Ovis aries: one gene and its partners. The protein of the gene in region 7 purifies or fractionates together with the protein of the main gene of each other region. This does not show direct contact. Links are inferred from orthologs where the notes say so. Each region holds a gene or a part of one and is shown on either strand. Other genes may lie near its edges.

Region 1 (4,620 bases), on a different chromosome or scaffold from region 7:
TGACTGTGTGGATCACAATAAACTATGGAAAATTCTGAAAGAGATGGGAATACCAGACCACTGACCTACCTCTTGAGAAACCTGTATGCAGGTCAGGAAGCAACAGTTAGAACTGGACATGGAACAGCAGACTGGTTCCAAATAGGAAAAGGAGTACATCAAGGCCGTATATTGTCACCCTGCTTATTTAACTTCTATGCAGAGTACATCATGAGAAATGCTGGGCTGGAGGAAGCACAAGCTGGAATCAAGATTGCCAGGAGAAATATCAATAACCTCAGATATGCAGATGACACCACCCTTATGGCAGAAAGTGAAGAAGAATTAAAGAGCCTCTTGATGAAAGTGAAAGAGGAGAGTGAAAAAATTGGCTTAAAGCTCAACATTCAGGAAACTAAGATCATGGCATCTGGTCCCATCATCACTTCATGGCAGATAGATGGGGAAACAATGGAAAGAGTGGCTGACTTTATTTTTCTGGGCTCCAAAATCAGTGCAGATGGTGACTGCAGCCATGAAATTAAAAGATGCTTACTCCTTGGAAGGTAAGTTATGACCAACCTAGACAGCATATTCAAAAGCAGAGACATTACTTTGCCAACCAAGGTCTGTCTAGTCAAGGCTATGGTTTTTCCAGTGGTCATGTATGGATGTGAGAGTTGGACTATAAAGAAAGCTGAGGGCCAAAGAATTGATGCTTTTGAACTGTGGTGTTGGAGAAGACTCTTGAGCTTCTCTTGGACTGCAAGGAGATCTAACCAGTCCATTCTAAAGGAGATCAGTCCTGGGTGTTCATTGTAAGGACTGACATTGAGGCTGAAACTCCACTACTTTGGCCACCTAATGCGAAGAGCTGACTCACTGGAAAAGACCCTGATGCTGGGAAAGATTGAGGGCAGGAGAAGAAGGGGATGACAGAGGATGAGATGGCTGGATGGCATCACTGACTCGATGGACATGGCTTTGGGTGAACTCTGGGAGTTGGTGATGGACAGGGAGGCCTGGCGTGCTGCGATTCATGTCGCAAAGAGTTGGACATGACGGAGCGACTGAACTGAACTGAACTGAAGTTGTATCACAAAGAGAAGTTGTTACATCAGCTCTTCTGGGAATGATTCTGCTTGGCACATTCCTGTTTGTGTGTATCCCCACGAATGTTTTACTCCCCATTAACACATTTAGGACAGTCTTCCTCACATAAACGTGTATTAGTCCCCCCACTAGCCTGGGACCTTCTCAAGGAGGGGAACAATGCTTATTCATTTCTGATCCCTTTCTGCCTCCAGGACAGGGTCTGGTGTTTCCTCGGTTCCTTCATTCTTTTCTTTATTTCATAACAAATGGTTGAGAGCCTAACGTGTAAGACAGCAAAGGTCCCTGCCTTCTTGGACCTTAAGACTGATGAAGAGACTTCCCTGGTGGTGAAGTGGTTAAGAATCCGCCTTGCAGTGCAGGGGCTGCAGGTTCAATCCCTGGTCTGGGAACGAAACTCTCACATGCTACAGAACAACTAGGCCCATGCCACCACTACAGAGGCCCATGGACCACAGCTAGAGAATTCACGAGCCACAATGAAAGATCCTGCGTGATCCAACAGACATCTCCCATACGGCAACTAAGACCCAGGGCAGCCAAATAAGTAAATAAAAAGTTTTTGTGGTTTTTTTTTTTAAAGCAGTGCTCAAAAAAAAAAAAAGTTTCAAAAACCAAAACAAACAAAAAAGACTGGTGGGTGGAGGGACAAGAAAATATTAAGCACAATCAATTACTTCATAACAACTGCATTAAATCCCCCAGAGTATCAGGCCAGGTGCAATGAGAGCTTGGGGAATGTGGAGTGGGGACCTAATTGAATTCTGGACACAGGGAAGGTTTCCTACAGGAGGTGGCCTTGAGGCTCAGAGAGGTTAAGAAATTTGCTCAAGGTCACACAGCTGCTAAGTGGTAAAGCTGGGATTTTAACCCAGAAGGCCTCACTCCCAAACACATATTCCTCTACTAGACAACACCACCTTTTATCTCCTCTCTCCTATTTTTTCCTGACTCTTACTAGGGAGAGGGAGCAAGGCCTGTCTAACGTAGGATGCTCCAAAGCAATATTTTCCCCAGATTGAGGGGTCAGAGCACTCTTTGAGAATCTGGTGAAATCCATGAAACCTCTCCTAGGAACTACATGGACACAGACAGACCCACAGAATCTTGCCTGCAGTTTCAAGGGGTTCATAGGGATCATGAGGCCCAGGTTTAGAACTCACACCACGGGAACCTTACAGTGAGATTCTCAGAACCTCAGACAAGACACCAGGACCTCACATTCAGAGACAGACCCCGGAACTCCATAAAAAGATTCTCAAGATCCAGGAGAAAGATCCTGGGAACCTGTAAGGATCCCAAGCCCCTCCCCTGCAGAGACATTCTTAAATGCTATAGACTATAGAGGTGGCTCAGGCCCTAAAAAAGCCAGCATCAACCCCTGCGCCTTGGAAAGCTAAGACCGTTTTGGAGTCACTGACACTTTGAAACTGAGGCGGGGGAAATGCAACCTACAACAGGCTTTGCACAAAATCCAGGCGTTCACAGACCTCTAGGAGGTCGTCAATTACCCCCAGAATCAGGCCTCCTGTTCTCGGGCCTCCATACAACCTGGACCCTCCCGAGCCCCTCACGAACCGGTCCACAGACTCAAGACACAAACTTTAGAGTCAAGCAGCCCATGGATCGAATTCCGGCCCTATAGTTTACTAGCCATGACCTTGGACCACTCACCTACAAACCCTCGGGCCTCAGCGTCTCACCTCCGCAAAGAGAGGTTCGGCCACCTCTCCCTCCCCAGTCTGGCCCCCCGCGGCGTGGGCTCCGTGCCAGGTGGGCGCTGGCGTCCGCGGGACCCAGGGCACTCGGCTCGGGCGCCCGGGACCGGGTCTGCGGCGCTTGCCTGCGATCCTGATGGACCGGCTGCAGCGGGAGCGCGAGCGGCGGGGGAGGCGGCGCGCCTGCCGCAGTGACAGCTCCGCGCCGCCGCGGGCCTGGGAAGCCGGCGAGGCCGTTCCCACCCGCTGGGCAGGGCGTTCCCGCCGGCCGGCTTCCTGCAGTCGGGGGCAGCCGAGTGGGGGAGGCGCGGAGGGGCCGCGGGGCCGGCAGGCCTGGTTCCTGGCTTTCTCTCCGCGTTTCCTGAGCCGGACTGGCCGGGGGATGGGACCCAGCACAAACGTCCTTCCTGGGAGCGCAGCCAGGAAATCGCGTCCTGGTTCGCTCAGGTTCCTGCTGTGTCCCAGGACGATGCCGGTTGTGGTCCATAATCTTCTCGTCCTGACATAATGAGTACGATGCAAGAAGAAACGGCAGACCCCAGACCCCACAGCCCAGCGAGACTCCAATCCCTGATGGAAGTTGGTTAATTTCATTCTACAGATGAGAAATCGAAGGCTGAAAAAGTGAAGTGACATCATAAAAACACTGCTACTGATAAAAAGAAGTGCTCACTACCTACCAGGTGCTGTGCTACAAATGCGCTAAAGTAACTGTCTCTGAGCCCTCAGAATCTATGAAGATAACTATTGTCCCTATGTTATAAATGAAGAAACTGAGAACCAGAGAGGTCAAGTGGTTTCTGCAGTGTCACACAGCTAGGAGTTAAATGCCAGCCTTGTGTTTCTGGAGCTCAGGCCACTCCACTGTCCTGCTTCCCAGATGTCCTATTTCAACTCATGACAGTGAGTAACCTGAGAGTCAGAACCCCGTCTCCTTTGTTTCTGGGTCCCCCAAACGCCACTTGGAACTTGACACAAAATAAGTGCTCGGAGGTGACTCTGGGGCCTAGTGTGTTGCGTACATGCTCAGTCATGTCCAGCTCTTTGCAACCCCACGGACTATATAGCCCACCAGACTCTTCTGTCCCTGGGATTTTTCCAGGTAAGAATACTGGAATGGGTTGCCATCTTCCCTACCTAGGGATCAAACCTGCATCTCTTGCCCCTCCTGCATTGGCAGGCACATTCTTTACCACTGCACCACCCAGGAAGCCCCCTGGAGCCTAGCAGAGAAGCTCAAAGTTATCAGGACTAGTAGGAGGCATCTTATCTGACTCCTTCTGGAGCCTTCATCATAGGGAAAATTCAGCCTCTGCTTCAATAGTTCCTACCATGACAAACTCTCTCCCACCATAATCCTTTCCTCTGTTGAACAAATATGTTTGGTCTGAAATGTAAGTACTTCATTTTGCTCATGGTTCCTTGTAAACAGAGGAAGACCATTGCCCTTCTCATAACCATAGTATACACCGCGTGGTATGCTTAGCCGTTTTACAAAGGTTCAATAATTTCAAGTCTTTGTGAACTGAAATAACACCAGCTATTCACCAAAGACGTTCCTCTTCCGTGTGTAGAGTTGTTTCAGAGAAAAGCAGCCCAGACTACATATTCCAGCACCCCTTGCAACTAAGTATGTGACAATGGGCTATGGGCAGGACGATGTGTGCCTTGTCCAGGCCCAATCCAAGTTAAAAACTATGTATGCTGTCTCAAAGCTCTGTCTTTTCTCTCTGTCTGCCAACGGCATGGGCTTCCCAGGTGGCGCTACTGGTAAAGAAACTGCCTCAGGTTCGGTCCCTAAGTCAGGAAG
Region 2 (3,948 bases), on a different chromosome or scaffold from region 7:
TGTTTGAAATATCCTTCATTTCGTTTTCAAGTTTCGAAAGAGAATGGTTCAGTTCAGTTCAGTCGCTCAGTCGTATCCGGCCGGCTGTTTGTGACCCCATGAACCGCAGCACACCAGGCCTCCCTGTCCGTCAGCAACTCCCAGAGTCCACCTAAACCCATGTGCATTGAGTCAGTGATGCCATCCAACCATCTTATCCTCTATCGTCCCCTTCTCCTCCTGCCCTCAGTCTTTCCCAGCATCAGGGTCTTTTCCAATGAGTCAGCTCTTTGCATCAGGTGGCCAAAGGATTGGAGTTTCAGCTTCAACATCAGTCTTTCTAATGAATACGCAGGACTGATCTCCTTTAGGATGGACTGGTTGGATCTCCCTGCAGTCCTAGGGACTCTCAAGAGTCTTCTCCAACACAGCAGTTCAAAAGCATCAATTCTTCAGTGCTCAGTTTTCTTTATAGTCCTCACATCCATACATGACCTCTGAAAAAACCATAAAAATGGTTACTTGATATTAAATCAAAGGATGGAAAATAAAGTATGTTTCTGAAACTTACACTTTTTAAGTATTTAAAAATAATACCTTTCACTTTGATTCTTAAATTGTTTGGATGATGGTAGCCAGTTACTTTGATAAAAATGCACTCAGTGCAACTACCACATGGGAAAACAACTAAACCTGTGTGCAGGTTTTGTGTGGGTATGTTTTAAACTCCTTTAGGTGAATACAAAGGAATGTAATCACTGGAGCATATGGTAAGAGTTTGCTGAGTTTTGTAAGAAACTGCCAAACTGTATTCCTAAAGTGGCTCTACCATTGTGCATTCCAACCAGAAGTGAATGAGAGTTCCTGTTTCTCCACATCCTTATCAGCATTTGGTGGTGTCAGTATTTCAGATTTGGCCATTCTAACACTAATGTTGTGGTATCTTGTTTTAATTAGCATTTTCCTGATGTTATATGATGTAAAGCATCATACAGGACTTTGGATCATTCTTTTTCCTTGTTCTTTCCACTTTAATTTTGTATTGGGGTATAGCCAGTTAACAAAATTGTAATTGTTTCAAGTGAACAGCAAAGGATTCAGCCATACGTATACATGTATCCATTCTCCCCCAAACCCTCCTCCCACCCAGGCTGCAGGATCATTTTTTTATTGGGTTATTCTTTTTATTGTTGAATTTTAAGATTTCTTAGTATATTTTGGGTAATGGTCCTTTATCAGATATGTCTTTTTTAAATATTTATTCCCAACTTGTGGCTTGTCTTTTTATTCTCTTGATGAAGTTTCTTGAATAAGTAAAACTGTAGAGAAGCAGATAAATGGTTGCCTGAGGCTAGGGAGTTTTTTGCAAATGGGCACAAGGAAACTTTTTGGGGTGCTGGAAATGTATAAAAACTGAATTGTGGTAATGATTGTACAACTGTATAAATTTATGAAAAATTACCAGACTCTACATTTTAATTAAATGACTTTTGTGATTTGTAAGTTATCCCTCAGTAAAACTGTTAAAGATAATCTTAAAATTAAAAAACAGGAGGAAGATGTTAATGATCCATTCCTTTAGTAATTTGAATATGATATTAAACAGAAAAGTGAAGATAAAGTATTGGATGTCAGGTTCTCTCCTGCCACTTCTCTTTAGTACTTCCCTGGTACCCAGGGTGCCCCCCTGAGCAGGTTACCTTCTAAAGGACCTATGCTGCTTTCTAAATGAAAATCTCCCTAGATTATCAATCCTAAAACCTTTGTATTTTTAACTTTGCTTAGAGATTCCTTATTAGCAAGTTTGCTGGATGGAGTAAGAGCCTCTGGTAACCGAGATGTTTGTGTAAAAATGACATCAACTCATAAAGGTCAGCGATGGGGGTTACTCAGCATGCCTGTCGATGAGGAAGTAGAGAGCCTTCATCTCAGATTCTTAGCTACACCTCCAAGTAAGTATTGATTTAAATATAATTTCATTTCCATCCATCTACTTAACAATAAATAAACATAGTGCAGACCTCTAAATCGTTTTGAATCATTCATTTCCTTACAGATGGCAACTTTGCAGATGCTGTGTTCAGGTTCAACGCTAACATTTCATATAGTGGAGTTCTGCATGCAGTGACGCAGGATGTAAGACAAATTGTATCATAATTTGTTCATTGTCATTAATTTTTGGTATAGAAACTCTTTTGAAATACTCTTCCTCACCTAGGGTCTCTTCTCAGAAAACAAAGAAAAACTGATCAATAATGCCATAACGGCATTATTGTCCCAAGAAGGGGATGTTGTTGCTTCAAATGCAGAACTTGAGAGTCAATTCCAGGCTGTGAGGAGGCTTGTGGCTTCCAAAGCTGGTTTTCTAGCTTTTACTCAGCTTCCAAAGTAAGTTGCCTTAATTTTTTTTCTTTTAATAAGAATTTGAAAAAGTCAAAATAGCAAAACATCAACAAATTTACCTCTTTATATCTGATTAAACTTGTTACTTTTTAATATGGTGAGATAGTAGTTTCTATTCATGAGATATAGAAAAGCAAGATGAATGAATGGAAATGATATTGCTGACTCTTATGTATACATTGACCCATGATATTACTGACTCTTGTTTTAGTGAATTTGAATGGGATGTTCAAATTCAAGCCTTTTAGTTTTAATCAACCTTCAAGCCCCCCATCAAAGGAAAAAAAATTATGAAAACTGTTATGTTCTAGATATGGGATTCAGAATATTTAATTGCTGTAGTAATGTAGTAGAAACTTAAAATAACTTAGTATGTTATGTTTTTATAATAAAATAATAGAATGACGCTCTGGTGTTGCTACTTTACACTGTTGTTTTGTCCCATGAGGTTTCGGGAGCGTCTTGGAGTGAAGGTAGTAAAAGCACTCAAGAGGAGCAACAATGGAGTAATCCATGCAGCTGTGGATATGCTCTGTGCCCTCATGTGTGTAAGTACTGGTGTTTTTCTCAAGGAAGCTGATTCTAAGTGACTGATGGTTTAAATTTCCACAAACCTAGATTTTATTGTTTCAATTAAATTCGATGTTTTTATATTTCCTAACTTGCTCTTACAGCCATTTACTTATACAAATAAACATTTGTTTAGCATAGCCTATAAACTAGGCACTGTGCTGTTTACAAAAAGAAATACCATGATGTTAAGACAGAATTCCTCCCTGAAATTGCTGGCAGTCTAGTAAGGTAGGCATGTGTATATAACTATATACATAGTAGGGGCCATGGGATCCCTAAGAAGCAGCACTTGATTCTGGTTTTGTGATGAGAATATAAAAAGGTTCTAGGTTAGTCTTTATGGGATATATTACACTTGATCTGAATCTTAAGGGGCAGGTAGATAATTTCTAGTTGCGAGAAGACTTTCCTAAGGAAGAGTAATTCAGTTCAGTTCAGTTCAGTCGCTCAGTCATGTCCGAGTCTTTGCGACCCTATGAACCGCAGCACGCCAGGCCTCCCTGTCCATCACCAACTCCCGGAGTCCACCCACACCCATGTGATGCCATCCAATCATCTCATCCTCTGTTTGCCCCTTCTCCTCCTGCCCTCAATCTTTCCCAGCATCAAGGTCTTTTCCAATGAGTCAGCTCTTCGCATCAAGTGGCCAAAGTATTGGAGTTTCAGCTTCAACATCAGTCCCTCCAATGAACACCCAGGACTGATCTCCTTTAGGATGGACTGGTTGGATATCCTTGCAGTCCAAGGGACTCTCAAGAGTCTTCTGCAACACCACAGTTCAAAAGCATCAATTCTTCTGCACTCAGCTTTCTTTATAGTCCAACTCTCACATCCATACATGACCACTGGAAAAACCATAGCCTTGACTAGATGGACCTTTGTTGACAAAGTAATGTCTCTGCTTTTTAATATGCTCTCTAGGTTGGTCATAACTTTTCTTCCAAGGAGTAAGCGTCTTTAAATTTCATGGCTGCATTCACCATCTGCAGTGAG
Region 3 (4,597 bases), on a different chromosome or scaffold from region 7:
GCTTTGTCTGGAGCAGGGGAAGCAGAACTTGTGCGAAGGAACAGAAGGGCACTGCACAAAGTGGGTGTCCTCCAGCCGCTCATGGCAGAGGGTGCAGCACAGCGGGGCGCTGGCGGCCAGGGAGGAGTCTGGGAGGCTGGCGGGGTGCACTGGCTCCAGTCCTCCGGCGCCGCCTGCCCCTGGGCCCCCCACCTCTCGGGGGCCCAGCCTTCTTTGGTTCATAGAGGACGGAGAGGGTGGACTGCTGCTGTTCCGTCTGGTGGTGGAGTGCACCTGGTTGGCATCTTTCGAGGCATGACTGCCCCCTGCATTGTCTGCTACCAAGATCAGGGCTGCCATGGGGGACTGGCCGTTCTGGGCCGCTTCAGGCGGTGTGGTCCGGTTGGAATGAGGTGAGGCAGTGGGTGGTGGTGGCGACACAAAAGAGGATGCAGGAGTGATGGGGATCTTGAGCCCTTCTGTGGATGTAGACAGCCACGGCTGGGCCTCTCCATTGATCTTAGGGGGCCCGACTTCACCTTCTGGCTCAGGAGAAGGCTTCCTTTTCCTTGCTGTTCTTGCAACTGGAAGAACAAAGATAGAAAAGGGGAAAAGAATAAATGAACGTGCACTAAAAAGGATCTTTCTTTCACTAACACACAACACAACCCTCTGAAGAATTTCTATTCTCCAAAGTTGGTACAGAAAAACCAAGTTTCAAGAGCACGTGCAACTTAAACCACTTAGACTGAGAAGGCTCTGAGGCAGTCTAGCAGTTAAAAAAAAAAAAAAAAAAAGGCACGGAAAGCACTGCCTGTTCTTCCACAGGCCTGCAAGTACCCAGGCTGCCCTGTGCACATGAGAGTTAACGCCCCCCAATCCCCCCCCCCCCCCACCCACCCTCAGGTTAAAAGGTGACTGGTGCCCTCATGCTCGCATCCAGGAATGTGCTGGGAAAGGAAAGCCCTGTGTCGCTGCCTATCGGTCCATCTGACTCATCTCTGTTATGCTGCTTCAGCAGAGGAACACGTTGCCACTAAGCACTGGTTCCGCCTCGAGCAGATCAGGAAGTTGGATGTTTGCTATTTCTGGGCCGGGGGAGAACGGCCAATAGGAAGAGCACCCCCTCCTCGGCTCTCAAGCCCCGCTTCGCCCCTAAACCCCCTCACTCCACAGCCGCCCCTACCTGCTTTAGACCCGTTGGCCCCGTTGGCCTCGAAACCCAACAACCTGCCTGCAGTCAGGGCCGGCTCCTTCTTAAACTTGCTCTCGAAGGGCGCCGAGTGGCCGTGCTGGTGCAGCGCCAGCAGCGTGTCTCGCACGGTCTTGGGCCGGTTGACCCAGTCCTGCTCGCCCGGCCCGCGGCCTTTGCCTGCGCCCTCGCTGCCCAGCTCGGCCGCCCCGGCCGCGGTGGACAAGCTGTCGGCCGGGCCGCGGTGCGAGGCCGCCGGCGGCTGCTTCTCCTTGGCCGCCGCCTCGCGCTGCTCGTGCTCCGCGGCCGCGCTGCTCGACACGGACGCCGGCCGCTTGTGGGCGCCCATCTCGGCGGGCTGCGCCGAGCCCAGGCCGGCGGCCGCGGCCCCGGACACGGCGGCCAGCGAGGCGGCGGCACGGCCGCCCAGGCCAAGCGCGGCGGGCAGTGGTGTGGCCGAGCCGTTCATGAGCGGCACCAGGGTGGGCGGCACGGCGTGGCCGCGCCGCGGGTTCGGGCTCTGGCGGTTCAGCTCCGGCGGCTCCTCCAGCTTGGAGAAACCGTTGGGCACCAGGATGCCGTTCACAGGCGGCGGCTGCGGCGTCGGCGGCTGGGCCAGGGCGGCGGCCGGGCGGCTGCCGCCGAAGTCGGAGCCCAGGCGCGGGGGCCGCTCGGCTGCGGCGGCCGCCAGAGGGTAGCGCTCCAAGGCCTGAGGAGCGCGCGGGGCGGCCTCAGGGCCGCCGTGGCCGAGCTGCTGCTGCTGCTGCAGGAGAAGGTCCTTGGCCGAGAGCGGCGGCGGCTTAGCGGCGGCCGGGGCCGCGGCGCCGGGCGGGGAGCGGCCCTCCGGGAAGCAGCCGTGCGCCCGCTTGAGCTGCCGCGCCGTCTCGATGACGAACTCGACGCGGTCGGCGCCCTCGTAGTTGACGCAGCCGCGGCACACGGGCTCGGTGAAGTCCCAGATCATGGCCCAGGGCATGCGGGGCAGGTCACACAGGTAGCACGACTGCCGCCGAGACGCGGCGGCCACCGCCACAGCCGCGGCCATGTCCGAGGAGCCCGCGGCGCCGGAGGAGGAGGAGGAGGAGGCGGAGGAGGAGGGGGCGCCGCCGCTACCCGCCGGCACCACGCGCGCCCTCCTCCCCCCCCAACCCCGCGTCTCCCCCACCAGCGGCGGCGGCGGCCGCAGAGGCGGCGGCGGCGGCGGCAAAGCCCGCGAAGGCTCGGCGCCCGCGCAGCGCCCCCGATGCACGAGGGGCGGCGGGCGCGGGGCGAGGGGCTGCAGCCGCGGCAGCACGTCCCCCCGGCCGGCGCGGGCTCGGGCGGGCGGCGGGGCGGCGCGGCGCGGCGGGCGCGGCGGCGGCGGCGGGGGCTCGGCTGGAGCCGCGGCTGGCCTCCAGACCGGGGCGAAGACGGGCCGCGCGGACGCGGGGGAGCGCAGCAGGTCGCGGCGGCAGCTGGCGCGGAGTGCGGGGCGGGGGGCGGGGAGGTTGGGGGGGCGGGGGGCGGGGGGCGGCCGCCGGGGCAGGCTCAGCCCGAGCGGCGGGGCATGCCGCGCCGGGGCGGCGGCGGCGGCGGCGGCGGCGGCCGGGCGGCGCGGAGCTCGGACGCGGCGCGGACCCCGGGTCGCTCCGCTGCTCTCTCACAGCTCCTGGCGTCGCCGCTCTCCAGCGCCCGCGTCAGCGCCCAGCCCGCCTCAGCTCCGCCGCCGCCGTCGCTGCTGCTGCTGCCGCCGCGGCCGCTCCACTTCTACAGACTTGATTCTTCGACAGCCTCGCAAGGCGCCTGCGCGGGCCCCCTCCCCTCGCGCGCGCGCCCCCCCCCCCCCGCCCCCTCCCCCCGCCGCAGAACGGGCGCTGCTGGGAGAGCCGGCTCCTCTGTGCCCGCCCTCCCGTCCGCGCCGCGCCCTGTGTCCCCGACGTGAACGCGTGGCTGGCGCAGCTTGTTTCCCTGCACCCGCTCCGCTGCCTCGACCACTCGAGCCGAGTTCCCTCTCCTCCAGATCCGTTTAGAGCAAACCGTGTAAAACTCGTGTTTTGAAAAGCAAGGCCACTTTGTAACTTGGTTCTGTCCGTTTTTAAACATCTTTTAAGGAGCTTTATTTGAACTCTTCGGCAAGCGCTTTTACACTCGCATGGTCTTGGGGAGGACACAGGCGCCGCCGGTCCCCTGAAGTTTTACTAAAAGAGGGCGTGCTCTCAGGCCTAGGATCGAGTCCACCCGCCGCTTCTCGGAGCCCTTCCGGGAGGGAGCGGCAGCACCGCGCAATGCACCCCGCGCTCCCTCCCGGCCGGCCCTCGCTACAGCGCGGGGGTCCCGGCCACCTGGCGCAGGTTCGCGCGGCAGCCGCGTGACGTGGGCGCGGGGCCGCGGGCCGCGTGCGCCGCCGCCGCCGAGTGCGCACGCTCCGCGCAGACGTGACTCGGCGCCGCTGGCACTGGCGGCTCCATTGAACGAATGCACATTCCAGGGATCCGGGGTCAGCGGCCAAAGAGGCCGCGTCACCGCGCAGGCTCCGCCCCCCCGCCGGCGACTCTAGGCCTCCAGGCCCCGTTCACGGGGCCAAACTTGGACTCCAGGTGGCGCGGGGCATGGGCACGAGCGGCGGTGGGGTCCGCGCGCGCTTGGGGGTGAGCGGCAGGCTGGCCTGCGGGTCACGCGGACCCGGCAGATCTCAGCCATTCCCGGCCCCGCTGGGTGGGCAGGGCCGACCTCGAGCCCACCACACCGCCCAGGATGGGGTTAGGTGGGTGCAAACCCGCCTGGCGCGAAGGCGACATGTGGGTGCAGAGCCAGCCAGTCTCGCCGCGTTCTGCCACCGTTGGCAGCCACAGGCTGTGCCCAGACTGAATTGAGCACTTGAGTTTCACACTTTTATCGGGAGGAGGAGCTGGCGTGTGTTATGGTAAATCACTTTTGGCTGGTCGTTAGTCTTTCTGACTAATAGACGCGGGCTTAGTCACTCTCAGTTGGGACCTTTACACTTCAGCTCTGGAAGGGCGGCCTCCCGAGCTTCCTTTGTTGGAAAACAGGCCCACCTCTCTCCCTGAGACTGGAATGAGCTGGTTAAGTGTGGGAAGAACAGGGTACTAATTATATTATCTTCCCTACAACTGGATTGGTAGGTGGAGAGAGAAAAAAATCCTGCTGACGTTTCTCTCTAGTTGTTGCTATTGAAAATGCCAGGTTGCCTCAAAGAATTAACCACAGGGAAGAGGAAAAACACCCTTAGAGAAACAGTGGAGGGAGCTGCTTAAAGCACATGAGAAAATCTGTTCGAAAATGGCACAGAAAATGTAATGCCAGAGCTAAATGTTTTTGCAGGCAAAGCCTGAATGTCTTGTGGGGATTTCCAGAGAAGGTGCGCCTCCATAAAGGTCTCCCCAACTGCTCCCGGATCTTGCCCTGCAATTACAATCCTGCCTCACC
Region 4 (3,948 bases), on a different chromosome or scaffold from region 7:
GAAGAGGATATGGAGAAAAGGGAAAGCTCTTGCACTGTTGGTGAGAACATAAATGGATACAGCCACTATGGAAGACTTAGAGATTCCTTAAAAAACTAGGAATAAAACTACCATATGACCCAGCAATCCCACTCCTAGGCATATACCCTGAGGAAACCAAAACTGAAAAAGACACATGTATCCCACTGTTCATTGCAGCACTATTTACAATAGCTAGGAAATAGAAGCAACCTAGATATCCATTGACAGATGAATTGATAAAGTAGTTGTGGTACATATACACAATGGAGTATTACTCAGCCATAAAAAGGAACATATATGAGTCGGTTCTGTTGAGGTGGATGAACCTAGAATCTATACAGAGTGAAATGAGTCAGAAAAAGAAAGATAAATATCATATTCTAACATATATACGGAATCTAGGAAAATGGTACTGAAGAATTTATTTTCAGGGCAGCAATGGAGAAACAGACAAAGAGAATAGACTTATGGACATGGCAAGAGGGAAGGAGAGGGTGAGATGTATGGAAAGAGTAACATGGAAACTTACATTACCATATGTAAAACAGATAGCCAATGGGAATTTGCTGTATGGCTCAGGAAACTCAAACAGGTGCTCTGTATCAATCTAGAGGGGTGGGATGGGGTAGCAGATTGGAGGAAGGTTCAAGACGGAGGGGATATTTGTATACCTATGGCTGATTCATGTTGAGGTTTGACAGAAAATAACAAAATTCTGTAAAGCAATTATCCTTCAATAAAAAAATTAATTAAAAAGAAAGAAAGAAATATGCCTGGTCAAATCCACATTAGTGTCGAAAAGTCAACCTACTCTGCCAGTATTTGGCATGTCCTCACTAGGGGCAAACCACCGTAGAAAATGCACACTTACCAAAATGACTAAGGACTGAGGACTGGGAGGCTGGAGGCTTGAGGTCCCAAGAAGAAGTGGTTGTGGGAGAACTCATACTATTTTGCTGTGAACTTGAGGTGGTGGTAAACTGGCCCAAACTCGGAGCTTTCAACTGGTCCAAAATCTGGGAGCTGGTGATGTTCGTCATTTTTGAAGGGGCAAGCTCTCCAAATCCTGAACCAAGGACTGATGACTTTAAAGGGAAAGAAAAACAAAAATCCTCAGCAATACAGAATTTCTACATGCCATTGTATTTTCACAAGGATTTTAAAAATTATAGCCTAGAACATTCTGAATTAGTAAGACTCATCTGAATAAATACTACACCAAAATATTACCAAGTAACAAGATCTGATTAAATAAACCTAACAATCCTTCCTGCTTCTGATACGAGAGCTTTGAGGGAAGAGGAATTTCCCTAGATTTTGTTTCCTAGATTTTAAGAAATTTATTTTTATTCAAAAAGTGGTATCATTTAAGCTTAGAAACACATTACTTTTTTTTTAAGTAGAGAGAAATATCATTAATAAATGACAAAGACAAGGTTGAAAAAAAAATACAATATTTTCTTAAGTGTGGAACGGTAATCATCTTTAACTTGGCAAAGTTTTTACTAGGGTTAGTCACAGAGAGATGAGCCATCAGATCATCCTGTAAGGTTAAAGGCACATCACAGTACTTAACGGTTTGTATTCCAGAATCAGACACTAAATTACAAGGATATGTGTGTGTACTGAGCAGATGCCCTGAACACTGCTGTGTTTATTTCAAGATGTTCTGATGACCAAGTACACCAAATAGACTTCCAGAGCAAATGACCAGCCAACCTAAAAGTGGCAGGTCAAGTGCATTTTTACTTATCAATATCATTAAATTACTGAAAAGATTAAGTCAAAATATAAATCCACAACCACCATAAATGTTAAAAATAGAAATGATCTACATTCCATCAAGAGGCCTGATCTAGAAAGCTGAATCAATTATTTCTGGTATCAATTTCCAAAGCCATGGACTATCTGTCCCAGCTGTTTTTAAAGATATCCAAATTCTCCAATGTGAGCAAAAAACTTCAGGCTGTGGGCAATTACTCCACTTCAAACACAGAATCTGCTTCTATTAAAACAGCTGTGATAACATTACTTACCACTGCTCCTAACTCTGTGCTCATGCCACCTACTACGCCACTCTTATGTCGCTTATAAATGCATCAAAACCTAGCTCAAGCCTACTTGCTCAAAAAAAGGCATCTTCTTCTTTTCTTCCCCAATCTCTACCCTGTATCAGCTAATTTAATTGTAGCACACTTTCTGTGTGTTTCACAACAGGATGACATCACTGCATCAATGACTAAAGCCTTGCTTCAGGTAATACCTATTAGCACAGGGCTTCAATTCCACCTCCACATTTCACTCAATGGGGACAGTTTACAAATGTGCCTACGGGTACACTTGTGCACATGCATTCACATAAACGCATACAAATGCTCAACTCCCAGTGCCAAAGATCCTGACCGGTCTTGTGTAGAATCTGGCTTAATCTTATAATCACTAAATATGCCAGATAGTAATAACTGAAGTTTCCCAATGATAGTAAAAGCATAGTATCACTGAGAATCACTGCTCTCATATGCAAAACAATTTGTACTCTGGTTTCTCAAGATGTTGTTCACGACAAAAAGCAACATGCCTGAAGGATGCTGTTAAAATAACATTAATGTCCTATCTACATTTTCAAGTAGCCTATGATTCCAGCAAGTCAGCAAGGACATCACATCAGTGTACCATTGGCAGATTGGGGAAAAGGAAGTGGATAGTTCAATCAAACTCAGGGGTATTAATGGGCCCTCTCAAAGCAGAGTCTGCCTTGGGTCTGTCCGTCTTCAAGCAGTGACACCCTCTCAAACGCTATCAACAATGACGCTAAAAATGCCAAGTTCCCAAGCTAGTTATACTTGGCATGACATGACTATGCAGAGAAGATGACAATGAGAAGTTCTCATATTCAAGCCTCCAGTTTTTAGGGAACAGCAAAGAATTCTGAATCAAGGCAGGGGGGTGGGGTGGGGTGTGGGTGTGTGTGCGTGTGTGTGTGTGTGTGTGTGTGTACGTGTGTGATTATCATAGATCATATTAATAAGAAATGCCATTCTCAACTGCAGATTTCAGATTAAACACACCAAAGAATGAATCAAAGTTTTATCACTAGTGAAAGCTATGGATTTGTGTCTACAGTCCTTTCAACCTTGAGTCTTGCAACTCAGAACAGCCCACACTTGGACGGAGACCTGAGTTTACCATTCTGCAGCTACATTCTTTCACATTCTACGCTCTAAGCTTTTTACTCCCATCAGTTATCTTCATTTGCTTCACTAACAGTTCCTGAGCTTTTCTCTGACAGAAGTTAGTTCTCTTTTTTTGTCTATGCTACAAACTATGAGGTATCTTAGTTCCCTGAACCCTCACCCCTGCAGTGGAAGCACAGAGCCTTAACCACTGGATCACTAGTGAAGACCCAGGAGCTGAACTGTTACAGAAGCCAAAGTCATATATGCAGCAGCAGATGGCACTGTTCCAATAAAAGCATATTCAATTTTTAAGGGCCTCTACTATACAACTGTTTGGAATAACAAAACCAAAATGCTAAAAATTTAAGAACCTAGGCAGATCTAGAAATAACTGCTTTTGCAGATTAGCAAATCAATACTGAAACATTAGCATCTAAGTAAACTGCAAAACAAATGAAAATTTAACATCTTAAGTATAGAGACAGACTCTGAAACAAACCCAAGGGAAAAAATCATCCTTCTTACTAGAAGGATCCCTAAGTTGATTATGACTGAACTAATTCATCATTCAACTAATCATAAAGAAGTACTTTTAATCTTCATCCAGAAAACTCAGTGGTTGAATTCTACACAGAACTGTCAGATATGTGCTTGGAAATTATGACATCATTGTTTTCTGGACTGAGATCTAGTGTAGAGATTTTTATAGGCAAAAAAATAATGATAAGGCAAGTGCCATTCAAGAATACAT
Region 5 (4,666 bases), on a different chromosome or scaffold from region 7:
ACTGATGCCCTGGGGCTGGGCCTCCTGCTACGTGGAGGGCCGGAAAGGGCTGGCCGGGTCCTGGGTGGCAAGCTCAGGGGGCACCAGGGGCCTCCAAGGCTTCAGTGCCCCTTGCAGCCTGTGCTGTGTGCTGGGTGCTCCTCCAGCCTTTCTTGGCCACTGCCAACCCCCGAGGGCAGGGCGGAGGGCCTGCTGGGGCCCACCTGGCTCCCAGCTAGGAGGAGGAGCGGCCTGCCTGTTGTGGGAGCCCCAGGAACAATCCTCAGCCACCTCGGAGTGGTCAGGTGCAACTGGGGCCCTCGAGGAGTCCCGCAGAGAGCTGGCAACCTGACTACAGGCTGCTCTGCAGCCAGGGCCTCCAGAGCGACCCTCTAACTGCAGGCGCTCACACTGGCCACCTGGGATGGGGCCTGGTTTGGCGACACCCAGCTCCTAGGCAAAGGAGGCCCTTGCTCTTAGGGCCTCATGGTGCCCACAGCCTAACAAGAAGAGCCTCCTTCAGCAATGCACCCACCCTCCTACCACTGTTAATGCTGTCTTGAAGCCAAACAGGCCTGATTCACGGAGCATCCCATGGATGCAGCTGCCACGCTCACCAGGTTCCTTCCCAAGGTTGTGGGGCCTTCGGTCCCACAGGGCTGTCTGAGGGGCAGCCCTGGCATATTCTGTGGTGGCCCCACACCAAGCATGGTAACTGACCGGGGGTCTGGGAGGGAAAGGAAACCAACATGACTCTCCAGGTAGGGCCTCAGACTGTGCGGAGGATGCACAGCACTGCTGGGGCTGGAAAACCCCCCACCCCGCCCCCTTTTCCTGTCTCTGGGGGCAAACACAGGGTCCTCGGGGCAGAATGGGGAGAAAAGTTCCAGCTGGAAGGGAGGCACCAAGAGAACAGATGCCAGAACATTCCAAGGCCTCTGGAAGCCAACGCCGGGCTTCAAGACCGCAGAAGTCTCCCCCAGCAGACTTTCTGCCAGAGGCCTGGGGCTTTGTGTGGGCATCGCAGAGGACTCAGGGAGAGGGCCATCTTCTTTCTCAGGGCCAGGCAGCTCCACAGCCCCTGCCCAGCCTGGAAAAGGGCTTCCTTCCACAGCTGAACCAGTGCTCAGGTTCTGTCCTGCCTGGCACCACTAGCCCCCTGCCCGCTGCACCCCGCGCCAAGCACATCCTGGTTGGCCTAAGGACAGAGGGGAGGGAGGTTAAATGCACGGGCTCCAGCCGGCTGCTCCCACTCCTTCCAGTTTAAGTTCCAGCAGGGCTGGTGGGTGGTGCAGCCACTGTGTGTGAGGCTGTGGCAGGCTTGATCCGTCCTGGTTTCCAGCTCTAAGGCCTTGCTGGGAACACAGGAAGTGGGACCTGGAGAGCTCGCTGGCAGGGCTTTGGCTGCTGCCTCACAATCTTTAAGCAGAAACATCAAGCAGATCAAGAGGCGATTATCCCAGTAGATTAAGCTCAGACTATCCCAAAGGATCTCCGATGCCCCTCCCCAACCTGGCTAAGAGTATTTCCTGGGAGTTTAGGGGACAGGAAAAGAAGAGAAATGAAGAATAAAGACAGAAACCTGGGGTCATTTCCTTGGGTCAGCAAAGCTTAGGGCCTTGAACAAGGGGATGGTAGTAACAGGACAGGCTTGGGGAAGGAAGTACAGCCTCCTCTTGGGGAACGCTGCGCAGTTACAGAAGCAGGCAATAGGGATGGAGCGTGGCACACAGGTGTGTCACTGGGACCAACACGAAGTGTTCCCTACAAGGACGCAGTATGATTCTGACTCTCTTTACCAGCTTTGAGACAGAGCTTCAGCAAATAACCCAGGAACCAGAGGACCTGGCCTCCTGCTCTGGGCTCGCCTCAGCTCAGACTGCTGCTCCTTTCTAACGGCTTAACAGTGTGAAAGAGAAGTACTTAGAAGAATCTGGGAGAGCCAGCGCCCTCAGGAGAGCAAGTGTGCCCGGAGGCACCCAGAGGTTCCGCAAACCAGGGCAGCCCAGGCCGCACACCTGCGGGCCGCGAGCTATGGCTCGGGCCTTTCCCGGACGCAACGTCACAGCCCGGACGCAGATTCTCAGCCGCAACTCCAGACAGTCTCTGCTTTACCTCTGCAAGCGGGGTAGCTGTCTGGCCTGCAGGGTCAGACCATGGAGACGAGCCTGCTGCCAGGCAACTGGAGGCAGGGGCGTGGATAGAGAGGCCCCGAGAGGAACGAAATAAAAAGTGGCTCTGGGGGAACCCAGCTGTGGTATCCGGACACGAGTTCGAGACCCACCACAACTTTATGACGTTTTGCTTTGTTTTTCGGTCCCTTTCCTTTTCAGTAGAGCAGCGCCCTCCAATACCTGCGCCAAATCCTCATTTCCTCGCAACAGCTGCCGACCCCACCACCCTGGTAACTCATCTGAGAAGCTGTGGGGTCACCTGGCCACCACACTCGCTACGAAACTGGGCGCTGCCCTCAAGCCAGGCGCGCTTCCGCCGTCGTCTCACAATTACTCGGCGAGAGACCGAGGAGAAGAGGCCCTTCCTGCCCAGACCCGGGCAGCGCGCACCGAGGGGAAGCCTCGGACGCTCTCCCGAACCCCCGGCTGTCCGCCCCTACAGGCCCCGAGGCCGGCGCGCCCAGCCCCTCACCGGGCTCCAGCAGATGAGCGCGTCCGTGTCCGGGTCGCTCACGAGAGTCCACAGCTTGGTCAGGAAGGCCGGGACGTTGCTGGGCCCCGCCGCGCCCGGGCCCACGGGCAGATCCATACCGGGCGAGACGGGAGAGGAGGAGGTAGCAACCGCAAAGAGAGGCCGAGGGACGGGCTAGCGCAGCCGCCGCGCCTGCTGCCTGGGCCGCGCTGCCGCCGCCCGCTGCGCACACACGGCCCCGGGGCCTGGCATGGCCGCCGCCATCTTGCGACGGGCGCGCTCCCGCCGGCGCCGCCCGCCCGCGTCCCCACGGCGCGCGCGTGCGCGCCGGCCCAGCCCATTTGGGCCCGCCTCTCGCCCTCTGACCCTTCGGGCCCCGCCCCCGGGCCCACGCGGTCTGTTAGCTGCCGGAAGTGGCGGCGCGGGTCCTGGCGGTCAGGGAGCATGGCTTTCGCGCTGAGTGGCGCAGTGGCGGCGGCGACAGTGGCGCGGCCCGGGAAGCGGCCGCCGGAGCCGGAGCCGGAGCTGGAGGAGGTGACCACGGGCTGCTCGAGCGGGACGGGGTGGCGCGGCTGGGCCGCACATGGCGGCTCCGGGGCGGCCAGCGCCGGGGAGCAGGGCCCAGGAGTGCGAGGAGGCGGTTTACCAGCTCTGTGCTGGCGGTGGCCTCGTGGGGGCGTCCTGGGCAGGGGGCTCCCGTAGTGTGGTTGGAGAAGTGTGGGCCGGAGCGAACTAGCAAGAGGGGCTGGCATCGTGCGCGTGGCCTCCCTAGCCCTTTGGATTGTGGTTCCTGCATTAAAGAGGTTTGAGCATGTTAGTACGTTACTGATACGTCGGATACGTTGTAAAAGGGCACGAGAATAGGAAGGCCGTGCCTGCTGTATTGGCCGCATCCTTTTTTTAACTGCACCTAAAGCCATTCCATTCAGACATGCAGCGGAACCTCAGCTGGGTTTGGGGTGTCATCAGCCCTCCAAAGATTGTCCAGCCGCGCCTGCCTAAGGGAGCACTCCACGTTGCTAGGTTGTCAGGCAGCCCCTTTACCCTGACCAATCCTGCTGCCCTCCTGCTAGCAGGCATTCTGGGCACCAGGCTCAGCAGCCATATGTGTTTGTGCCCAAGCCATTTGTGCCATTTTTATTTGCTGTTGTAATTGTGTAGCTTACTAAGCGTTGAAGTAGTGTGTATCAGAGTTATTTCTGTGGAAGTTCAGTTGAATGCTGCTAATTGGTGAGTGCAGGCTTTCCTGTTAGCTGAGAGAATTAGTAGCTATTAAAAAGCAGAAATCTAGGGTTCTCCATTCAAGTAAGTGCTTGCTGAAAGTCTGTAAGTTCTTGTTTCCCCTCTCTAAGTGCATGGGTCTTGTGAACTTAGGGATTGGGTGGTGTCTGGTCAGCAGACCTCTGCTCAGAGGAAGCTCTAGTCCTATCCCATGGGGTGGTGAACCAGAACACTTGCTTTTAAGTAAAGTTTGCATCATTTTTACGTCTCTTCAACCAGTCTTTACAATTTACTGATAAATTGTCAGTCCCTATCTGGTTGGATAGAGTCCTCTTCAGGCTGGAAAAGCGCCTCAGGTTGTGGTCCTCTCTGCCTGTCCCAGACCCCACTCCAGTGCCCTGGTAGCTCTGGAGATGTGAATGCCAGATGTGGCTTTCGGGCGTGAAGGGTGGAGAGCTGGTGCAAGTGATGTGATGGAAATTGAGCTCCTTGGAAAGTCCTTCTCTTGTGAGACTCTAACTGAATGTCTCCTCCAAAGGCAGGAGGCCTGCTGGCGGTGGAAGTGGGTGGTGAGGGAGGCCTGGGTTGGGTGGGTGGTTTTGGTGGAGCTGGAGGCTTGTGGCCTGAGGGCCGTGACCGAGGAGGCTGGCCACACAGGCTGTGGGTCAGCGCTTGGTTGCCTGGTGGGTGGGCTTGGGGTCATCAGTGCCATGCCTCTTGCAGCCCTCTCTCCTCGGCGCTCCGGCTCCCAGCAGCAGGCTTGGCAGTGATCCTGGCCTTAGTGACAGCGAGGAGAGTGTGTTTTCAGGCCTGGAAGATT
Region 6 (3,948 bases), on a different chromosome or scaffold from region 7:
AGCTGAAAATAGTCACAAACAAGAACAGACCTGTGTTTACACACCCTCTCCCCCAACACAGAGCACTACTTCAGAATTGGTAGGGTTTTTTTTTTTTTCCTATTCTAATTAGTGATTTTGGCCACAGTGTGCCCTCAACTTGGAGGGAAAGGGGATAAGAATTTATAAAATCATGACCAGGGGTCAAGAAAATACACAAGCGCTAAAACACGTGGGATGATGTCTGCAGATCAGATAAGCACACCAGGCAGCTCCTGTTTTAGATCTTCGACAGGCAGAAATGGGAATGTTACGGAGGGGACATATTTCAAAAGACTGTGAGTCGGGGGCCATGTGAGGTTGTTGAGATACAAGGTCAAACACAAAGATCTACTGGAGAGCAGTGTTTAAGAGGTCAGAATGCAAGTCTGCAGTACAGTGGAAAGGGAAGCTTGGTGACTCTGTTGGGGCATCACCCAGAAGGGGACCTGATAAATGTTCTCTTGTCCCCTTTGTAGTTCTAAGTATTCCGTTATGTGGAAACACTTACTCCATGCATATGGCTTCCTGGGGTGTTTTTTTTTCCCCCTCCCTCCTCTCCCTTAAAAAATAATTCCCTAAGGTTTATCATTTAAAATAAACATCATTAACTTATTTGAGAAATGTGGTTGCTTTCTCAATACAAGCAATTGCTTAGATCTTGCTTAATGAGATTCTAACTCCTTGTAACATTAAATCCGACAGCATAGAAGGCAGGAACTTTTCCTATTTGTGCAGTTATATGTACGTATGTGTGAATATATGTGTATATATACTTGTCTATATACTATCTGTCTAACTTGTAACATTTCATACTTCTGATAATCAAGGTTGCATTTAAGATGACGTTTCACACCTCTGGAAAAAAAAAAAAAAGGAAGTAAATGAAGTTCCATAACTGTTCTGTCCTACAATAAAGCCATGGATGACGACTAGTGAAACTGGGTTATTATTGCCAAATCTACAAAGAGCATGGGAATAACAGCTGGAATACGCTGTCCTCCCACTTTCAGTATTTTATTTTTCATTAAGAGTAATCATGACTTTTAAGAGAGCAATGCTTCCGATTTGGATTTCTTGTCCAAATTTAAAAGAAGAAGCAATTTAAAAGTGAAAGACTGAGATAAAATTACCCTGCCCCGAGACCTGCTAGTACACTGGATAAAATCTTTATCCCAAACCAAAGTTGTAACTTACAAATAGAATAAAAATTTTTAATAGGAACTATTCAGAGCTTCCTGCTATGGTATGATATGGTTAGCCCTTTTCTGTACAGAAGAAAGGGTGTTTCTTTCGGATGGCTTATGGACAGTAGATTTGAATAACCTCTCCAGGGGAGAGTAAACCCTGTTGGTGATGACTGCTCCCACCAAAGGGGAGGAAAGGGCAAGTGGGTATGTGAAGATGAAGATGGTTTCTAGAGACACAGATATTTATAGTTTTGTAAACTCTAAAGAGGAGAAAGAACACCTTTTATTACAACTGGGGTTAAAAAAAAAAAAAAGCCCCCTACCTAAAGTGGAAAAATTTCCATCTGCTTACAGACAGAAGGAAATGAACATCAACAGGAGTTCAACAGAAACCCCTCCTAGAGTCCGGTTTCGATGCAACAGCTCTTATCTGTGTCCTCTGGAACAGTGTGTCCCAAGTCAGATCAGCTGTCCATGCAGAACCAGTCCCGCTTGATCAGTGGGATGAACTGTTTCATTTGGATCTTGGTAATTTGCATGTTTTCCTACAGGACAAGGGAACCAGAGCGGGGCTTTTAACCTGGCAGATGAATCCCTGAAAAATTCATTCTGACCATGTCCTGTCGCGGTCCGTGTGCTCTATCAGACAGATGCGTGGTCTCTACCTACTGAGCGGCTGGGCTCATCTCTCATTCACGTACATAGTTCCTACATTTCCTCCTCTAACAACTGCAGTGCTTTCAACAAGAGGACAACAATAATAAAAATAGCAATAGTTAAAAAGGTAATCTACATTATTAACTTCCTTTGGGTATATTACAGTGGTATTTTCTGTACATGGCCCAGAACTAAGTTCCCTATGTACATAGAGACATGGGGTGGGGGTGGGGGAAGCATCGACCTTGGAAGTCTTAGCCTTATGCCCTGAAAGACAAGGTTCCTTTCTTCGGTCCAGACTTGCTCGCCAGCCTGCTGTTCTGAAGCAGAGGCATTCTGTAAACCTGGTGGGGCTGGGGAGAGGGCTGGGGACAGGAGAGTGGGGACGTTTCCTTCTGTCTCCTCCCACAGTCTGTCTATTTGTGAGGCCCGTCCGTCAGCAGCTGCTGTTTTTGAATTCACCATTCTCCGTGATGGAAAGCTTGGTGGGGTTGGTGGGGGAGATGCCATTTCGGACCTGCATGCTGTACCGTTCCTTCACCTGGGTCAGCGCGCTCATCAGTCTGGTGTTGGCCGAATCCAGCGACACGATCCGTTTTTCCTACAACACACCAAACGGGGCTTTATTCTGGCTCCATGTGGGCCAGCGCCGTAATGCTCTACCAGATGACTGCTCTAATTAATGCTTTCTATCAAACAGCAGTGCACATGATGCTTCCCAGACAAATGGAACGTCTCTGCCTCTTTCTGCACCCGAGTCAGGCCAGCTTCCCCTGGGCCCAATGGGTTTGTGTTTCTTTTTCCCCTTCAGCATTGTAGGGTTTGTTACTCATCACCCCTTGGGACCCTAAGACATCACATAAAAATGACACCATGTGTTATTCAGACTATGAGACAGAGGTGTCAAGCTGCTTTGCTGTAGCAAGTGCTTTGGGTCAAAACTTAAACACAGGAATTAGGTGGCAAAGAAAGAAGCACCAGAGGTTTCATTTCACAGAGGAGAAGTGCATGTGATCTATGGGTTCTCAGCCCCCAAAGGGGCACACCGGTCACATGTGGAAAGATTTCACGTGGTGCTCAAAACTGAAACAGTACATGGTGGCAGTTTATAGTCACCGACAAAGTGAGGATGCGACAGCGAGAGGGGGAGGAGCAGCCAAAAGCTAGACCAAGGGGTTATTTGAATGTGGGAAGGGAGATGTGGCCGGAGGGGGATGCCGAAAACATAACACATGGAAACAAACAGAGAACACAAGCTCCTAGACTCATTCCAGCTCAGAGGTACTCCAGGAAAGCTACCCAATAAGGAAGACTGCTTTCATTTTGCTTTTGAATCTCAGAAAGAAAAAAAAAAAGCCTTAGAACCAATATCTTGGAACCAAAGACTGTTGAATACACGCATTAAAAAAAGAGAAAAAAATGAAGGAACAAAATGGCAATCAGAGAAAAGCAGACTCATCTAAATTAAAAAAAAAAAACAAAAACCATCCCATCAAAATATTATTAGTTTTGCAAAGACTAGGAGAGAAATCCTAATCTTAGCTTCAGCAGCTAGGTAAATCATTCTAGAACCTCTCCTACATGAAGTTGCCATTTTTCAGAAAACAACTAATTAAAAAACAAAACAAAACATGTGAGGAACAACCCCCCAGAGCCAAAAACAGGTTTCCTACCCAGGGATTGTTTTCATTTAGTCAGGGAAAAGCATGGTAAGGAAGAGTCACGGTCAGGGTTAGAGAGGACACACAAATGTCCGTGTGACGGAGGCTATTCCTTGCTGTTATGGGAGTAGCTCCACACGGCTGTGAGCAGCACTGCTCTGCAGGGAAATATGCTGCCCAAGATGCAGAAGGAAGACCACTGCCCTCGGGGGACATTTAGGGAGAAAGCATATATTGTTGGGTTGGCCAAAAAATTCATTCGGCAACAGCGTACAAAAACCCGAATGAACTTTATGGCCAACCCAATATAACAGTAGCATCAGGTAAGGCTTCCTTTTAATCTTCTGCTTTTGGGGGTGGCGTAGGAATCTATATAGGGCAGGGCTGGTGGTCACAGTTTAAAAAATGAAAAAAAAAAAAAA
Region 7 (4,436 bases):
ACTGAGGTGCTGTCTTCTGGCTCCGGGGGTCGGGTCAGCCCAGCAGGAAACTCAGCTAAAGGACCCAGGTCCCTGCTCCCTCCCTTGTTCCTTGGTGGCCCGGTGCCCAGGAGGCTGCTCTGCGGACACTTGTGAGCAGCCAGCTCCCCGTCCCATCCGTCCCCTGGGCTGCTCTCCACACCTCGTGGCCAAGCATCTTCACCACCAGCCGGAGCTTCAGGGCCACTCACACCCTGCAGAGATGGCATTCAACAGCCCCTGATCTAAACCCGGATCTAAGTGGAATTTTCACTTCTTTCAGTAAAATCATATACTATTCCTACACTTTGAAATATGACATAGTAACTCAGAAAACTCAGGCGTAAAGCATTAAGCTCTGCAGCCACTCCTGAGCTCTTTTAACTTCTCAAGCCTCAATTTCCCGCCTGGACAATGAGGGTGACATAATTTCCACAAAGACACAGGACCTGTAGTCATGCTGGTTAGCTAAGATACCTGTTGGAGGGTATCATTTATGAATTATATGATCACTGCTAAACTAGTAACAATCGTGAGCAAAGTGCTCAGAGCCACTGACAAATGGAAAAGTCAGAGGCCATTTGCACGGTCACGAAAACCCGTAGAGAGAGACATCACCTTTTTAGGAGGAAGCAAAAAAGGAGATCTAGTTTCGTGCTAACGCATTAGAAACAACTGGAGTTTCTTCAGCGATTTGTGAGATGCGGTCAAACATTTGAAAAACTTTAAACACCATGGACACCAGTTCACATGGCAGGTCATGAAGCACTGAGCATAATTCTATTTTCGATTTCATGCGGAGAAAGTTTTTGCTGAGACTAGCACAACAGAGGGACAGTAAACACAGACCTCCTGGTACAGTCTGTGATTTTCAGTGTGCCTGCAACACTGCTTTATTAGCCACTCGTAACATGAAAGTAAATGACAGTTAACACATGAATGTCTTGTTTTCTTTTTAAACTTGATCTTCTGGGCCTGATTCTAGTTTCTAACAGCTCAGTGCTCTCTTCCATGACCCATCTGCCTTCATAAACTTCTCTATTTTTTACTTAACCTTCCAAAAGACTTAATTTTGTCAGCATCACTTTTTTTTAAAAGAAAGAAACAAAGCTCATCAGTCTAAAACTAGAAAAGTCCTTAAAATGAACAACTGAACACACATTTATCAGTCTCAGCTCAAGGGTTAATTCAGCAAGTGATTAACCACTTGTACACGGTAATCAGAATTCATTTCACATTAAGGAAGCCCTAGAACGTAATATTTCAAACAAGAAACTTCCTTTTAAAGATGAGCACCTGCCCTATGTGAGGCATCAATTCAAGTCTTAGAACAATAACTCAGCTTCAAGAAAGGAACTGTGTCCTGCCCGAGCTGAGAAGAAAACATCCTTTCTTTCCAACTAGGGAAGAGCCCCCCTGAAATGGCTGAGAACATGCCCTCAAAGTTCTTGAGACCAGAGACGCTCAGTCACTTGTTAACGCTGCTACATAAAATCGTCCACAGGAACTGCTCTGCCTGTTCCACCTGCTTCAGCTGGAGAAGGACCATTGTCACTCTCCGTGAAATCGTGGTGGTGAGCGTCTCATTTTCTGAGAAGACATTGTTTCTTTCTGTAATAATAAAAAGAACTATACAATAAATGATGAAAGTCAACATAAATATTAATAAATGATAATAAGTGCCTCATTTGGTTATTAATGTACTTTACTGGCAAACAGACCCCTTGTCCTGTTTTGAGATAAAGACACATATGCAGCCCTTCTTAAAATTGTGTCTTACATGTATTCCTTTGCTCACTCAGAGTCTGGTAACTATGGGAAAAATTACCTGTGGTTTTAGGGAGTTTTGGACGCCTTGGTAAGATCTGCCTGTAATTACACCTGCACACAATTTACCGGACCTTCAATGACAATAAGAAGTTATGGGAAGTACACAGAAGTCTTCATTCACTGTTAGAGAAAAGATTATTTCCCAAATTTCTTACACATTATTTAGGAATCCTATACAAGCCGGTGACTACATTTGTCACTAAGCAGGGTCCCCACACCGGTTTCTATAGAAACTGACAGCAGCACAGCCTGGAAAGAATTCAGGGAAAGAGCCGGGGTGAGGCACTCTGTGCTCTGGGAAAACTGGCAAAACAGGCTCTCCGGTTTTCAGGAACTCAGATTCCTAAATCTTCTCAAATTCAGAAAAGCACTAAAAGCTTTAAGGGAGACAGCAGCTCCTCCTGACCGGTGGTAACCTCTGCGCGCCTGACCCCGGGCCCTGCTCCAAAGTCACATCCTCGCTGACCTCAGCCCGACCCTCGCCGCCAGGGCTTCCCTCTGCGCGCTGACCGCCGTGGACACCCCGACCGGGAGGGGACACGCCGACCGCAGGGACACCCCGACCGGGAGGGAGCGCTGCGGCTCGGGCCCTGGCGGCCGGGAAGGTGGGACGGCGCCCCGGTGAGGCCGAGCGCGGCTTGGGGAGACACCTGTCCGCTGCTCTCGGGCCTGAGGCCAGACGGATTTTTCCGTTTTGCAAAGGGCTCGGTCGCTCAGCACAGAAACCACTAACCGGCCCCGGTCCTAAAACCGCTCGCGGCGGGGAGTGGGCCGGAAACACCTGGCCCCCCGCGGAAGGTTCTGGAAGCTCCGCGGCGGCACGGCCGTCGTCTCGAGTCACGTCCCCCCTACCTCCTCTGTTCGGGGTCGCGCGGTCCCGGCGCTCGGGGCCGCCGAAGGGTGGGGGGCCGCCGCGCCGACCCAGCGCCGCGCTGCCCTCCGCTCCGCCCTCGCCCCCCGGTCCTCGCCCGCAGCTCCGTCCCCGCGCGGCCCCCGCCCCGCGCACCTGAGCTCCAGCTGGTCCAGGCTCTCGAGCAGGCGGCTGGAGCGATCGGCCATGGACGAGGAGCGACAGAAGCGGCCCTCGTTGGCCTTGGCGCTGATCCTCGCCTGAGCCATCTGCGCCGGGCGGGCGGCCCGAGGTCACCGCCGTCCCCACGCGCCAACCGTCTACTCGGATGCGCTGCCCGCAAACCCGAAGTCGGGGGCCAGGGCACCCAGATAAGGGCGCGAGGGCTTGGCGGCCGGACTCCGACCGCGCGAGCTGCCTCGGGGGCGGCGCGGCGGGGCGGCTCCGCGTGGCGCCAGGCCCGGCCCCGCCCCGAGCACGCCCCGGGGCGAGGCCCGCGCCAACCACGCCCTCGCCCCGCCCCACGGAGGCCCCGCCCCCAAGCATAGCCGGGGCGGGGCTCGCGTGAGCCACGCCCTCACCCAGGCTGGCCCGCGGCGCCCCGCCCCCGATCACGCCCCGGGGCGGGCTCGCACCAGCCCCGCCCTCTCCCCGCTCCGGGGCCATCCGCCGCGAGGAAGGGGTCCTTTGCGTAGCCGTGGTTCCCGGGCACCTTCCCGAGGTGAGAACTGGAGTCTGGACGCCAACAGAGCAGAAGACAAAAAGCCGCCCTGTCCAGCTGCGTGTAGGGGTCAAGGTGAACCTCATCGTTTTCACACCCACTCGCATGAAAGCATTTGTAATGACTTCTCTGTTTAAGTTATTGGTTGGAATTCGAGTGAAATGATTGTTATTTAAGGCCGTTTCTAACCCCATTTGTATAAACCTCCTGTTATGAGAAGACCATGGAGGCCGCTCGGCCACCGTGCAGGTCAGGGAGTAGTAGAGGGGTGGCGGGGCCAGAGCACACTAGGCGTTCTGCCCAGCAGTACACGGAGGGGATGCACAGGGCACCGGGAAGGGGATAATAACAGTTCAAGGCTGGAGCCCAACCTTTAATCTGAGATCAAAGTCGAGGTACTTGAACAGAGATGAGGCCCCTAAGGCTAGATCCCAGTTCCTCTGAACTCTTAAATACTAATTCACAACTGCTGTAGGGGGTCATCTGGCCTCATTAGACGTTTTATTGTATCATGACAAACGTGGAATCCTAGACGTTTTGTGAATGTGCTAGACTCTCTCACACCTCAGACTCAGTGGACTCCAACTCCAGAGAATACCCAGGCCCGTCTTCACTCCCCACTGGGCCAGCATCCCAGCCTTGCCCTCCCATCTGGTCTGGTGCTGTTTGCACCACTGTCTGTGCTCAGCTCAGCAGCTGCAGTGATCCAGAATAAGGCACAGCAAATGACTCCTCAGAAACCTTCAGCGGCTCACTTGTGAAATGAGTAAAAGCCAAGGCCTTCAGAAGAGGCCTCAGAGGACTCTCGTCGCCTGCTGCCTGCACTAGCCTTGCTGTGCATGTCTGGATAAGCTCACTCCCTACCTTCAGGCCTTTGCTCAAGTTCTCTAAGGACCCCGACCACTCTAGTACGAAGAGCAAGCCCCGCCCCCGCCTCACCCCCACCGCTCCTCAGCTCTTTCGGGCGGCTGTTTTCCTTCCTCATCTCAGCAACCCCCCCCAAGTGTGCCCCACTGC

What was found.
Region 1: the proteins of BAG2 (region 7) and LUZP1 purify together in Homo sapiens (affinity purification with mass spectrometry; 3 studies listed by BioGRID and IntAct, with this or other methods). This does not show direct contact. The link is inferred for Ovis aries from reciprocal best matches to the Homo sapiens genes BAG2 and LUZP1.
Region 2: the proteins of BAG2 (region 7) and DNAJC13 purify together in Homo sapiens (affinity purification with mass spectrometry; 3 studies listed by BioGRID and IntAct, with this or other methods). This does not show direct contact. The link is inferred for Ovis aries from reciprocal best matches to the Homo sapiens genes BAG2 and DNAJC13.
Region 3: the proteins of BAG2 (region 7) and IRF2BP2 purify together in Homo sapiens (affinity purification with mass spectrometry; 3 studies listed by BioGRID and IntAct, with this or other methods). This does not show direct contact. The link is inferred for Ovis aries from reciprocal best matches to the Homo sapiens genes BAG2 and IRF2BP2.
Region 4: the proteins of BAG2 (region 7) and UBAP2 purify together in Homo sapiens (affinity purification with mass spectrometry; 3 studies listed by BioGRID and IntAct, with this or other methods). This does not show direct contact. The link is inferred for Ovis aries from reciprocal best matches to the Homo sapiens genes BAG2 and UBAP2.
Region 5: the proteins of BAG2 (region 7) and HSF1 purify together in Homo sapiens (affinity purification with mass spectrometry; 3 studies listed by BioGRID and IntAct, with this or other methods). This does not show direct contact. The link is inferred for Ovis aries from reciprocal best matches to the Homo sapiens genes BAG2 and HSF1.
Region 6: the proteins of BAG2 (region 7) and RASAL2 purify together in Homo sapiens (affinity purification with mass spectrometry; 3 studies listed by BioGRID and IntAct, with this or other methods). This does not show direct contact. The link is inferred for Ovis aries from reciprocal best matches to the Homo sapiens genes BAG2 and RASAL2.

Annotation. Positions count from the first base shown.
Region 1 is NC_056055.1:243,407,197-243,411,816, reverse strand, and holds the start of LUZP1 (leucine zipper protein 1), read right to left. Parts: upstream 3,059-4,620; 5' UTR 2,767-3,058; intron 1-2,766.
Region 2 is NC_056054.1:257,879,277-257,883,224, reverse strand, and holds part of DNAJC13 (dnaJ homolog subfamily C member 13), read left to right. Parts: intron 1-1,764; coding exon 1,765-1,931; intron 1,932-2,035; coding exon 2,036-2,115; intron 2,116-2,197; coding exon 2,198-2,367; intron 2,368-2,830; coding exon 2,831-2,930; intron 2,931-3,948.
Region 3 is NC_056078.1:6,783,071-6,787,667, forward strand, and holds the start of IRF2BP2 (interferon regulatory factor 2-binding protein 2), read right to left. Parts: upstream 2,922-4,597; 5' UTR 2,217-2,921; coding exon 1,166-2,216; intron 564-1,165; coding exon 1-563. UniProt on the Homo sapiens protein: Acts as a transcriptional corepressor in a IRF2-dependent manner; this repression is not mediated by histone deacetylase activities. Represses the NFAT1-dependent transactivation of NFAT-responsive promoters.
Region 4 is NC_056055.1:37,555,283-37,559,230, reverse strand, and holds part of UBAP2 (ubiquitin-associated protein 2), read right to left. Parts: intron 3,880-3,948; exon of another isoform or gene 3,799-3,879; intron 1,107-3,798; coding exon 893-1,106; intron 1-892. UniProt on the Homo sapiens protein: Recruits the ubiquitination machinery to RNA polymerase II for polyubiquitination, removal and degradation, when the transcription-coupled nucleotide excision repair (TC-NER) machinery fails to resolve DNA damage. May promote the degradation of ANXA2.
Region 5 is NC_056062.1:13,586,134-13,590,799, forward strand, and holds the start of HSF1 (heat shock factor protein 1), read right to left. Parts: upstream 2,910-4,666; 5' UTR 2,743-2,909; coding exon 2,626-2,742; intron 1-2,625. Other genes in the region: ribosome biogenesis protein BOP1, read left to right, coding at 3,070-3,159, 4,570-4,666. UniProt on the Homo sapiens protein: Functions as a stress-inducible and DNA-binding transcription factor that plays a central role in the transcriptional activation of the heat shock response (HSR), leading to the expression of a large class of molecular chaperones, heat shock proteins (HSPs), that protect cells from cellular insult damage.
Region 6 is NC_056065.1:59,300,500-59,304,447, reverse strand, and holds part of RASAL2 (ras GTPase-activating protein nGAP), read right to left. Parts: intron 2,467-3,948; coding exon 2,324-2,466; coding exon of another isoform or gene 2,302-2,323; 3' UTR 1-2,301. UniProt on the Homo sapiens protein: Inhibitory regulator of the Ras-cyclic AMP pathway.
Region 7 is NC_056073.1:3,196,696-3,201,131, forward strand, and holds the start of BAG2 (BAG family molecular chaperone regulator 2), read right to left. Parts: upstream 3,120-4,436; 5' UTR 2,968-3,119; coding exon 2,855-2,967; intron 2,853-2,854; exon of another isoform or gene 1,847-2,852; intron 1,630-1,846; exon of another isoform or gene 1-1,629. UniProt on the Homo sapiens protein: Co-chaperone for HSP70 and HSC70 chaperone proteins. Acts as a nucleotide-exchange factor (NEF) promoting the release of ADP from the HSP70 and HSC70 proteins thereby triggering client/substrate protein release.